Linked DNA regions of Rattus norvegicus. The protein of the gene in region 2 interacts with the protein of the main gene of each other region in a biochemical or structural test. Links are inferred from orthologs where the notes say so. Each region holds a gene or a part of one and is shown on either strand. Other genes may lie near its edges.

Region 1 (3,728 bases), on a different chromosome or scaffold from region 2:
CCTTTATGTTGGGAGTCTTCACTCTTCTATACCTATTATCCTTACATTTGATCTACGCATTGTGACCTGGATTTCCTCAATGTTTTCGGGTTAGGTGCTTTGAGAATTTTTCATTATCTTTAAGAGTTGTGTCGATGTTTTCTCTCTTCTATCTCTTGTATTCTATTGGTGATGCTTGCATCTCTGAGACTCCTGATCTCTTCCCTAAGTTTTCTATCCCCTGTGTTGTCTTTCTTTTTGCTTCCTTTATTTTTTTCTATTTTGATTTTTAAATCCTGGACAGTTTTGTTCAATTCCTTTTTCTGTTTAGTTGTGTTTTCCTGTAATTCTTTAAAGGGTTTTTGTGTTTCCTCTTTAAGTGCTTCTACTTGTTTACTTTTATTGTCCTATATTTCTTTATGGTAGTTATTTATGTCCTTCTTAAAGTCCTCCATCATCATCATCACAAAATGTGATTTTAATTCTAAATCTCTCTTTTCCGATGTGTTTGGATATCCATTATTAGCTTTTGTGAGAGAACTGGGCTCTGATGATGCCAAGAACTCTTGGTTTCTTTTCTTTAGGTTGCTGTGTTTGCCTCTTGACATCAGGTTGTCTCTGGTATTAGCTTGTCTTGCTTTTTCTTATTGTGGCTTGACCCTCCCCTAGGCCTGTGTGTCAGCATTCCTATAGACATGTTTTCTTTCAGTTGGATCTGAGAAGAGAAATCTCTGTTATCAGGTGTTTTGGAGCTCCTGGCACCTTGTTTAAGCTCTCGGTGCAGCAGAAACCTGAAGGGTCCTGCTCCTGACTGCTCCTAGGTCCCTCTGCCCGGGGGACACAGATTTCACTCTTGATTTCCTCTTCAGTCAGAAATGTGAGCAGAAAGTCGTTGTCTCCTCTACGTTCTCAGGACCGTCTGTGCTTCTGAGGGTCCAGCTCTCTTTCCCGTGGAACTTGGGTGCAGGGAGCTGTGTTAACAGTTCAGTTCTGTTCAGGGCACAGACAGAAACCAGCAGGTTCCTGCTGTAGACTATTCCTATATTCCTGAATCCAGAGGCACTATGCAGTTTTTCTTGGGCCAGGGATATGGACAGAAGTGTTGGTCTGTGTTGTGGTCTCAGCATGGTCAGCACTTCTGGGAGTTCAGCTCTCTCCCCCATGGGATTTGGGTGGAGATTGCTGTGGGATTGGTTCAGTTTAATTCTGAGCACAGGAAGAAACCCAAATGCCTTGTTCCAGAGGACTTCTGCCTTTCTATGTCCTGAATCCACCAGGCAGTTTACTTGGGGCAGAAAAGGTGGTCTTTTCTCTCAGGTGTGTAGATGCTCCTGTTGACTGTCTTTCAGCTCTTGGCCCAGGCAGAAACCCAAAGGGTCCTGTCTCTGACTGGTTCTATGTCCCTGTGCCCAGGGTCACAGATAGGAATAGGGGATTTCCTCTTGGGTCAGAAATGTGGGCAGAAAGTAGCTGTCTCCTCTGAGTTCTCAGGGGTGTCCATAATTCTGACAAGTCATTTCAAGTTCTACAATTTTATATTCTTTTTATTAAAGTTTATCTTATTTTCATGGTTTACCCTGTTATGCTATAATAAACACTCTACTATTTCCAGTGAATAGCTTGATGCTTTTCCCCACACATGCACTATATATTATTTTTGATAGGTGTTTCCCACTTAATGAACATCTAGTTTTGCATATGTGCTATATGTCCTCTAACTATTAATAAAATCATTAAGAAAAAATAATTTGTATTGTTTAAATAGTGAGGTAATAAAGAGAAAATTAATTTCTAGATTATTTTCATTTAAAAAGCTCTCTGTGAGTCAGGGGAAGAAAGAGAGGAATAAAAAGAAAATAGAGTTTGAGGTAATAAAAATATGCTGAAGATATTATAATGGTAATATGTTAATCATCATAATACCCTAGCATCTAGAATGAACTATGGTCACTCTTCTTCGTGATCAGAGCTTGTCAGGGTAAAGTCATTGCACAATGTGCAAGGTCCTTCCATTGTAGACATCTGATAAGGAAATCTATACAATGCATGTGTGCATGTATGGGGCAGTGAGACTATTTGGAAATATTCATGCTTTTTACATATTTTTGTTCCAAACCTAATTTTTGGCAACAGCATAGAGTCTTCTTAAAGCTAAAAAACAAACAAACAAACAAACAGCAACAACAAGCCTTCAATAATTTCTCAACATCTTAGACACATGCAAATTAATTGGAAAAAAAAACCCCTCTAATTTAAACTGGGACTCTCAGAGACTAACCAGCAACCAAAGAACATACATGGGCTGGATCTAGGCCTTTTTGCACATATATAACATATATGCAATTTGGTCTTCACGTGGATCCTGAACAACTGAAATGGGTACTATCCCAAAAGCTGTTGCCTGTGTGTGGGATATTTTCTTCTAGCGAGGTTGCCTTGTCTGGTCTCTGTGAGAGTTTCTGCCTAGCCTCACATAGAACTGGATGTGCCAAGTGGGTGATACCAAGGAGTGTCCCCACCCACTCAGAGGAGAAGGAAAGGGGGAATCAGGGGAAGGATTGTATAAGGGGGTGGCCAAGAGGCAGGCAGTGAGCAGTATGTAAAGTGAATAACTAAAAAAGAAAATCTTTACCAAATTGAAAAACCTAAAATAAATGAATAAATCTCTTGATATTTATGACCTGTATATTTATGACCTAAATAAAGATATAATAAGTAATTTAAACACAAATAAATAAACTGATACATAATAAGCCAAAAATTTTAACCTATATGGGAAATTTGGGGACTCTGGAAAATATCTCTTTTATTTCACTCACCTATTACCACTTTAAAAAAGTGTTCACCCCTCAAAATAAATGTGTTTATTTTTAATTATGTGTATGTGTTTCCCTGTGTGTAGGCATGAAACTATAAATTCTGAGTCAGATATTCTTGGGCCTGGATTTAGAAGCTGTTTAGAATCACTTTATATAGGTTCTGGGAACCAACTGAGGTGTTCTTTGGGAAGATTATGCCATCTTATCTACTGAGCCATCTTTCTGTCTCAAAATTGCTGACTCTTTAGGTGAGTGATTTGAAAGATATATAGCTAATTACATACAGTTTATGTACTGCCATTTTTATTCTCCTTTACTTTTAGGACTGAAGTTCCAAGAAATTCAAGAAAGGTTTGGTGAGGAATTCTTTAAGATATGCTTTGATGAGAATGAGCGAGTCCTTCGAGCTGTAGGCAGCACATTGCAGGATTTCTTCAATGGCTTCGATGCATTGTTGGAACACATTAGGACTTCATTTGGGAAACAGGCCACTCTAGAGTCACCATCTTTCCTATGCAAAGAGCTTCCTGAAGGTACTCTCAAACTCCACTACTTCCACCCCCACCATACAGTGGGCTTCGCAATGCTGGGAATGATCAAGGCTGCAGGAAAGAGAATCTATCACTTAAATGTGGAAGTTGAACAAATTGAAAATGAGAAATTTTGCTCTGATGGTTCAACCCCAAGCAATTATAGCTGTCTTACCTTCCTTATCAAAGAATGTGAGACTACTCAGATCACAAAGAACATTCCACAAGGTACTTCCCAAATTCCTACAGACCTCAGAATCAGTATCAACACCTTCTGCAGAACCTTCCCATTCCATTTGATGTTCGACCCTAACATGGTGGTCCTTCAACTTGGAGAGGGCCTACGAAAGCAACTTCGATGTGACAATCACAAAGTACTGAAGTTTGAGGACTGTTTTGA
Region 2 (3,600 bases):
CCAGGTCAGCCCTCTGGCTCCTGGCCCCGCCACTATTGCGGTGGGCACCTCCCCTCCTCACAGTGCTGCACAGTGACCTCTTCCAGGCCTTGCTGGGTGAGTAATGCTAGTGTTCTGAGGGGCCACAATGGAAAGGGCTGGCCTGCGGTATGGGGTCACCTGTTATAGGTTCTAGGCTGGTTGGAATCCTGCAGAGCCCCTAGTCCAGGCTCTTGCTTTTGTGGTCATCCCACTGTGTCCCAGCAGCATCCATCCTAGCTAGAGGAACTTGTCTCTCAACACACAGAGCCATGGGTAGCAGGGGTGGCCAGAGGGGCCTGAGGTTTGGGAGGTGACTTAATTCTGTTCCTGTGACAGACATCCTGGACTATTATGAGGCTTGCATCTTAGAGAGTCAGGTAAGGTGATGATGGTGGGTGCCTGGCTTCCTGACTGCTCAAGCTGGCAGGACTGGAGGGATGAGGACGTTCTTGCTAATTTTAAACTGAGACTTAGGGGCCTTGGCAACAAAATCCCTAGTACTGACTGAGGAGTCGGGGGCACTGACAGTGCTCTTTCTGTGGGCAGCCAGCCCTGTACCCTTTCTCCGTTCTCCCCTTTCTTGGCTTGCCCCAATTTCAGCACCAGAAAGTCCAGGTCATAATTAATTACTTTTCAGACTTCTTCCTGTGACTCCTAGGGGAGAACTAGGTCCCCAAGGTTCTCTAATGTTAGCCCCTCCCTCAGCCCCGTACCCCGTGGTGTGGCCTCCCTCCAGCACTCAACCAGCCAGGGATGCTCTCATCTCAGATGTGGGCCTTTTCCCTCTAAGGAATGAAATCCGTCCTCGTCTTTAATGTCATCATCGAGGTTAGCCAGGTCTCCATGTTTGCCGTAGGGCCTCTCTGCTTGTGCTTCTATCTCCTTTCCCATTATCCGGGTTCCTGCCAGCAGTGAAGGAGTTAACACTGCCAAGGCACCCCCCCATTCTGGCTCCTAGCTCCCTCCCTCCCTCCCCCTGCTTCCTCTCTCCTCCTCTCTCCCCTTCCCTCCTCGGCTCCGCGGCTACATCGGCCGCTGCCATCTCCAACCCCCCCCACCCCACTCCCCCGCCACGGCCCCTAGCCCCTGGCCGTTTGGCAAGACCCCCGCATACCCCGGGGCTTCCCGAAATCCAGATCCCCTCCCCCACCCCAGCTCATGCCCCAGCCCCAGAACTCCGGGGCTGCCAGCCCCCTGTGCCCCTGCCCCTCCTGAGAATCGGGGTGTGCTCCTCAAGCCCCCTCCCCTCCACTGGGGAGCCCCCTTTAGGGTCCCCCCTCCCTTCCACGCTCCCCTACCCTTCTCTTCTCCAACCTTCTCCTTCCCCTCTCACCCCTCCCCCCATCCTGGCCCCCCCTGCAAAAGTGGGGTGCGGAGGGGGGAGGGGTGAGAACCCACCGAGGGGAGGAACAAAACTCCAATGAAGTCAGAGCCCCCTACTCGCCGCCGCGGCCAGGCCCCCCAACATGGACTGTCTCTGTATAGTGACAACCAAGGTAAGCATGATGGGGGGAGCAGTGGGGAGGGGGAGTAGGTAATGAATTTGTGGAGAAGGCTTAGGTAGGCCTTATCTAGGGTTGCAGGCACTGAAGTGAGCGCATCTAAAGTAAGATGTATTAGAGGGGTCACAATTTAGTTTTGGGGTTCACATCTGAGAAAACGATGGATTTGGTCCACAGGTGCCTCCTGGAGTGATCATTTTGTACCTATAAAGAAATGGAGAATTTGATTTGGTGTTTGGGGTGTCTTGGTGGGCTCTGGTGTTCATCAGCAGTGTTTTGAGGGCAATTTATTTAAGGAGAAGCCCGCCTGCCTCACATGGGAGTTCTGCTCATATATGTGGGAAGGTGGGCTATGTGAGTGTGTTAGGGGGAGGGTTGTCTTCCTTCCTGGGCAAAAAAGCTCATTTCAAGATGCTGACCAATTGACCAATTTTGGGGGGGTGTCTCTTGGCATAAGGGTAAAGGTTACTGGTTGTGTCTGGCTTGTCTGGCTGTGTCAACTAGCAGGTAAGGGTGGGCCTTCAGGTAATAAAACATCTTGTGCTAGACATGTTTGAGATGCTCCTGATTTGAGGGAATTGTACATTTAGGGTTTAATTATGTGGAATAGAGTGAGTGACCTGGGAGTTTCCAGAGGGCTGAGGCCTGATGCAGCCTTACCTGAGAGAATGGACCAGGTGGGATTAGGATTCAGGGTACTCCCATGGGAGCTAGAAGGTTGCAAAGCTGAGGTTGTCATCTCGTAAGAAGGATGAGAGGTGTGGGGTAGGAGGATAAAAAGAAGGTAGTTGAGGAGGGGGACCATGTGGGTGGTACAAAATTTGGGGGTAGCCCAGGCAGGTGCCCACTATTCCCATCTCCCACATTTTATCTAGCCTTGGTCAAGAGAACAGAATAGCAGATGGGGAGGGGGGCTGTTACCCTGACGCTTGAGAGGACACCTGGATCTAAGGGTCTCTGAAGGCTTGTGAGGTGAAGAGGCCACTGGGGTAAAACGGTATAGAAAGAGGGCAGGGCTGGCGGAACTGGGATCCATACAGGGTACAAGGGTGTCCCTGTGGTCAGAGCCTGGAAAGAGTGGGAGATCTGGGATGAAAGCCCAAGAAGCTTAGGTCGGTCGCTTGCTCCCAGACTCTGGGACTGGCAGGCTAGATGCCTGGTGTGAGGAGGGAGGCTTGGGCGGGCGGCAGGCAGCTGGGGGTTGGGGGGTGGGACAGGAAGTGGGGGCCGGGGGAGGCGGGGTCCGGGTGAGTCACAGGCTGGGGAGGGGGTTATATTTAGTGGGAACTGCAGCTTCTTATGGAAGGAAGCTGAGGACACACATGTTCCTTGCCACAAACTCACACATGTGTATACACATGCATTGTGCACGTGTGAACATGATTAGAGATTGGGGACTGAAGATTTCAGGTCTGCATCCTTTACCCCATCTACAGGGCTGGTTGTTTTTCTCCTGGTCTGTGGATTTTGGGCTTTCTTCCAGGCTGCTGCTTCTCTTATCCCCCGTAGTTTTCAGTAGATTTTTGTGCCTCGGTTCTTCTAGCCCTCTTTCAGTCAGTGTCTGCCTGTGTTCTTTGTGCCTTCTGTCCTTAGGCCTAATCCCTGGCCTTGGCAACCTAGCTGTCATCACCTTTGTACTGATGTATATAGGAACTCATTGGAATGTGTGAGTTCTCCTTCTAACATGAACACATGAAATCCAATAAGGGTGAGGGGCTTAGTAGCACTGGTAGCTATTCTGAGTGGATGTGTCTATTCATTTCTCTGCTCCAGTTTTCAATGTGTTCGATGGAACACATGATTGAGCAACCCTGAAGGTAGGAGGCTTGCCTAGAGGATCATGTATTCAGGTCTTACTGAGGTTTGGAGACCCATGTTTGCAACATTCATTGGTCAGAAAACTTGTCAGCCTTAGATGGAGGGACTCCAACTCCCATAAGGCCTTGAGGTACAAGATCCTTCAATAGTAGAGCGTCGTGGTCCACAGGACTGTTGGGAGTTGTGGTTCCTCTCTATCCAGGCCAGTTGAGGGTGGCCCAGGAGAAACCAGCAGGGGGCACATGGCTTCTGCCCTCCG
Region 3 (3,728 bases), on a different chromosome or scaffold from region 2:
ATTATTAAAAATATGTCCACATATTGACATGGATGCCCTAAGGAACAAAATCTCTACCATCACCACTGATAACCATTGGATTGAATCCAATTTTGGAAAGAGAAGGATAAGATTTCCCTGCCACTCATCATTAGTGTTAAAATATTTGTATTCATTTCTGTTTTTATTAAGAGAAGCACAAAGACCATTTAAAAGTATTCTGTTGTTCAGAAAAAAAGAAAGGCGTGGTTTAGAAGTAATAAAAGAACAAAGATTCCAGTAAGTACAGAGACAAGGAGCCTTAAATCTCTGTGCCTATAAAATGAGAAACAACCTGAGTACACACTAGAGCTGATATAAAGTAGAGAAACTTGTCTGACCTCAATACAAATCACCATCCATGTAGGGAGTTCTTTGGTCATGGTATCCTATTTTCAGTCATTTTTATAAGGCTTCACCCCATAAACATTTTTTGAAAGATATAACCAAGTTCAATACACTCTTGGCCACATTCTCTTTCTTAGTTTCAATGGAAAATGTCCGCTATCACCTCGCTGTGAGCACCCAGCTTCATAAAAATAGAAAGATACCATGGGTCAATACTTTTACACTTCCTAGGGCTGGGGAAATGGCTCAGATGGAGAACTGCTTGCTACACAAGCGGGAAGACTGAATTCAATTCCAGAGCCCAAGCAATGATGCTGAATGTGCTGGTTAATACTTATAATCCCGGTACTAGGAGATGGACCCAGGCTTCCTGGAGTTCACTGGAGCTCACTGGGGCTCACTGGCCTGCCAGCCTTAGCTTACTTTATGAGCTTCAGGACTATGAAATACCTTCTCAAATGAAGCAAGGTAACTGGCTCTTGATATCCTTATGTAATATCCTCTGTCCTCCATGCACACGTGCACTCATATACATCCCACACTCATATATATGGAGAGAGATAGAGATAGAGAGAAAGAGAGAGAGACAGAGACAGAGACAGACAGAGACAGAGACAGACAGAGACAGACAGAGACAGAGACAGACAGAGACAGAGACAGAGAAACAGGCAGACACACACACACACACACACACACACACACACACACACATATGTTTTATAGTTTTTGTTCTCATTTCCCCAAAATCGATGTCTGTTAAGTAGTTTGACTTGATTTTTTTTCAGGCTTGGTGGCCTAGTCTTATGATAATTAACAACTACCAATATTAGTTCATTCTTTTATCTATTATATACCCATATGTGTGTGCACGTGTGCATGTGTATGTGCGTGTGCGCATGCATGCGTGTGGGGTGTGTGTGGGGGGGTGGGGGGGGGTGTGGGGGTGTGGGTGTGTGTGCGCGCGCATGTGCACGCTTCCTACTATAGCATTTCCAGCCAATAAAGTGGTTGGCTTAAATTTTGGGCGTTTTTGACAAGATTTCGGGTGAATGAATGGTGAAAAATCATCACTACACAGAAGATAATATCTCTTGTTATAGATAGAAGGGGAATTGGAAAGTCATACGTGAGTGAAGAAATTTTTCCAGTCTTTACTGTTTAATGGTGATTATTCATACCTTGTTGAAAATTCACCTTTGATAAACATTCCTTATGCATTCAATATAAGACAGGTACAGATTCTAATTAAATTCCTCATTTTTAAATGACACGAAAGCCTCCATTTTTGAAGTCTCTATAAAGATCCATTTTGTCTAGATATTTGTAGTTCATCAAACTCCATAGATTCTCAGAGTTGCATTAACAAAACCAGAATGTTCATAGAAAACTCAAACCACTTCACTGTGATTGGAGTTCAGAAAGTTCATTCACCCTGAAACTCTGAAAAGGGTAGAAGAAACTTGAGATGGGAGGTGTGCAAGGTTGCTTAAAAGATTTGCAAAGATCTCAGGCAGCCCCACAAATTCTGTGTGCAAGTGAGTCTCCTATGTCATTAGAGAATTTACACTCAACACTCCTTTGTCTCTAATCACAGTCAGAAAGTGTCCCTTACCTATTGTAACCTTTCAGTGAGCATACATTTCCAGAGAGTAATATCTCACTTATTGAATGGACTGAACCATGTGTCTATACTCATGCACCTACCTCAACATCTTTCATCACACACACACACACACACACACACACACACACACACACACACACACACACACATTCACACTTCTCTTCCAGAAGCAGCAATAAGATTTGAATCTTGGTGTTACATTTCAGTTCATTATCCCAAAACACAGGATATAGTAATATATTGCCTTCCTGCTGAAGAGTCTTTCTCATACCCCATCTCCCTAGCAATAAAAGCATCCTTTGCGGGTGGAGGTGCAACTCAGTTGGTATTGAACCCAGAGCACTGGATTCTACCCCAGCACTGCATATACTGGGCATGGTGCCACACACCAGTAATTCCAACATTCCAGAGGTGAAGGCAAGAGGATCAGAAGTTCATGGTCATCCTCAGCTAACTAGGAAATTTGAAGATAGACTAAGATACATGAAACAGTGTCTTAAAACATAAAATAATTTGGTTCACACAGTGACAAATTGTCTTGTACCTTTATTTCCACAATAGAAAGAGTCCCACACAATGAAGCCCACATTTGAATTTTCTTTTCTTTCCTCAGCTCTCTGCACTACAAGCTAAGGTCCACTATCTCAAGTTCCTCAGTGACCTGCGACTATACGGGGGCCGTGTGTTCAAGGCAACATTAGTGGTAATTGCATTTTCTTTCTTTCTGTCTGGAGCCAGAGGCTGGCCAAACATCACAGCACAGCACAGGCTGTCTTCAAGGAGTTGCCCTGGATGATAAACATAAAGAAGCTAGGAATCTTTCCTTGTTTTCAATACTAACCAACTTCACCACAGTCTGGAGATACCTTGAGAAATGTTCGATCTAAGTAGCATTGCTGTAGAAGCCCTGGGGGAAAAATGGAATCAAAGGACTCTTAACAATGGTGCCTTTTCAATCACTGAGATAGAAAAGGGAGGGGGACACTTCTCACTTCTAAAAGCTTTTGATGTGCATAAATATATTGTATAATGACTACATTTACTTTCTATGTTATTCATCATTTATGGGCAACCCTATATACTCATATCTGAGTCCACCTAATTGGATGATTTAATGCAATATAACCCAGAAAAACTTTCCAAAGAATACATCATGATCTTAGGAAAAGAGTCACTCAGTCTGAGATTTAGATGATGCTTCAAAAGTCCTGAACCTTGAAATACTCTGTCATTCTCTTTCCTTAGCAGGCAGAGAAGCGCTCAGAAGTGACTCTTCTGGTGGGTCCCCGGTATGGCATAAGCCATGTCATAAACACCAAAACCAACCTGGTGGCTCTTTTAGCTGACTTCAGCCATGTCAACAGGATTGAAATGTTTACTGAAGAGGAGAGTTTGGTGAGGGTGGAGTTGCATGTGCTCGATGTGAAGGTGAGCCTTTCGCATGGTGACCCATGGCACTGCCTTCAGCAGTTCATTTCTGATAGCTCTGATAGTACTCATCATGCATGAAAGAGTTAATGTGTGCATGGCCTCACAGATGCCATTTGGTTAAAAAAAGTAAATAATAAATCCATACAACTCCTATCTAGGTGTTCTAGTCCTCATTAGATTGCTGTCTCATTTGGGGACAGGTTATTATATTTCTTTAGGCACAGTTTCTCCATCGGTGCACAAAAACAGCAAGTTATATCATTCTCAATCCCTTCACGGTGTAGAATACTGAATCATATAACACTTG

What was found.
Region 1: the proteins of Dlg4 (region 2) and Gucy1a2 interact in a test that uses a peptide from one of them, tested with the Homo sapiens proteins (2 studies listed by IntAct, with this or other methods). The link is inferred for Rattus norvegicus from reciprocal best matches to the Homo sapiens genes DLG4 and GUCY1A2.
Region 3: the proteins of Dlg4 (region 2) and Frmpd4 interact in a biophysical measurement, tested with the Homo sapiens proteins (2 studies listed by IntAct, with this or other methods). The link is inferred for Rattus norvegicus from reciprocal best matches to the Homo sapiens genes DLG4 and FRMPD4.

Annotation. Positions count from the first base shown.
Region 1 is NC_086026.1:8,879,131-8,882,858, forward strand, and holds part of Gucy1a2 (guanylate cyclase soluble subunit alpha-2), read left to right. Parts: intron 1-3,121; coding exon 3,122-3,728. UniProt on the Homo sapiens protein: Has guanylyl cyclase on binding to the beta-1 subunit. Isoform 2 acts as a negative regulator of guanylyl cyclase activity as it forms non-functional heterodimers with the beta subunits.
Region 2 is NC_086028.1:55,238,353-55,241,952, forward strand, and holds the start of Dlg4 (disks large homolog 4), read left to right. Parts: upstream 1-1,431; 5' UTR 1,432-1,487; coding exon 1,488-1,517; intron 1,518-3,600. UniProt on the Homo sapiens protein: Postsynaptic scaffolding protein that plays a critical role in synaptogenesis and synaptic plasticity by providing a platform for the postsynaptic clustering of crucial synaptic proteins.
Region 3 is NC_086039.1:30,365,612-30,369,339, forward strand, and holds part of Frmpd4 (FERM and PDZ domain-containing protein 4), read left to right. Parts: intron 1-2,603; coding exon 2,604-2,693; intron 2,694-3,235; coding exon 3,236-3,418; intron 3,419-3,728. UniProt on the Homo sapiens protein: Positive regulator of dendritic spine morphogenesis and density. Required for the maintenance of excitatory synaptic transmission. Binds phosphatidylinositol 4,5-bisphosphate.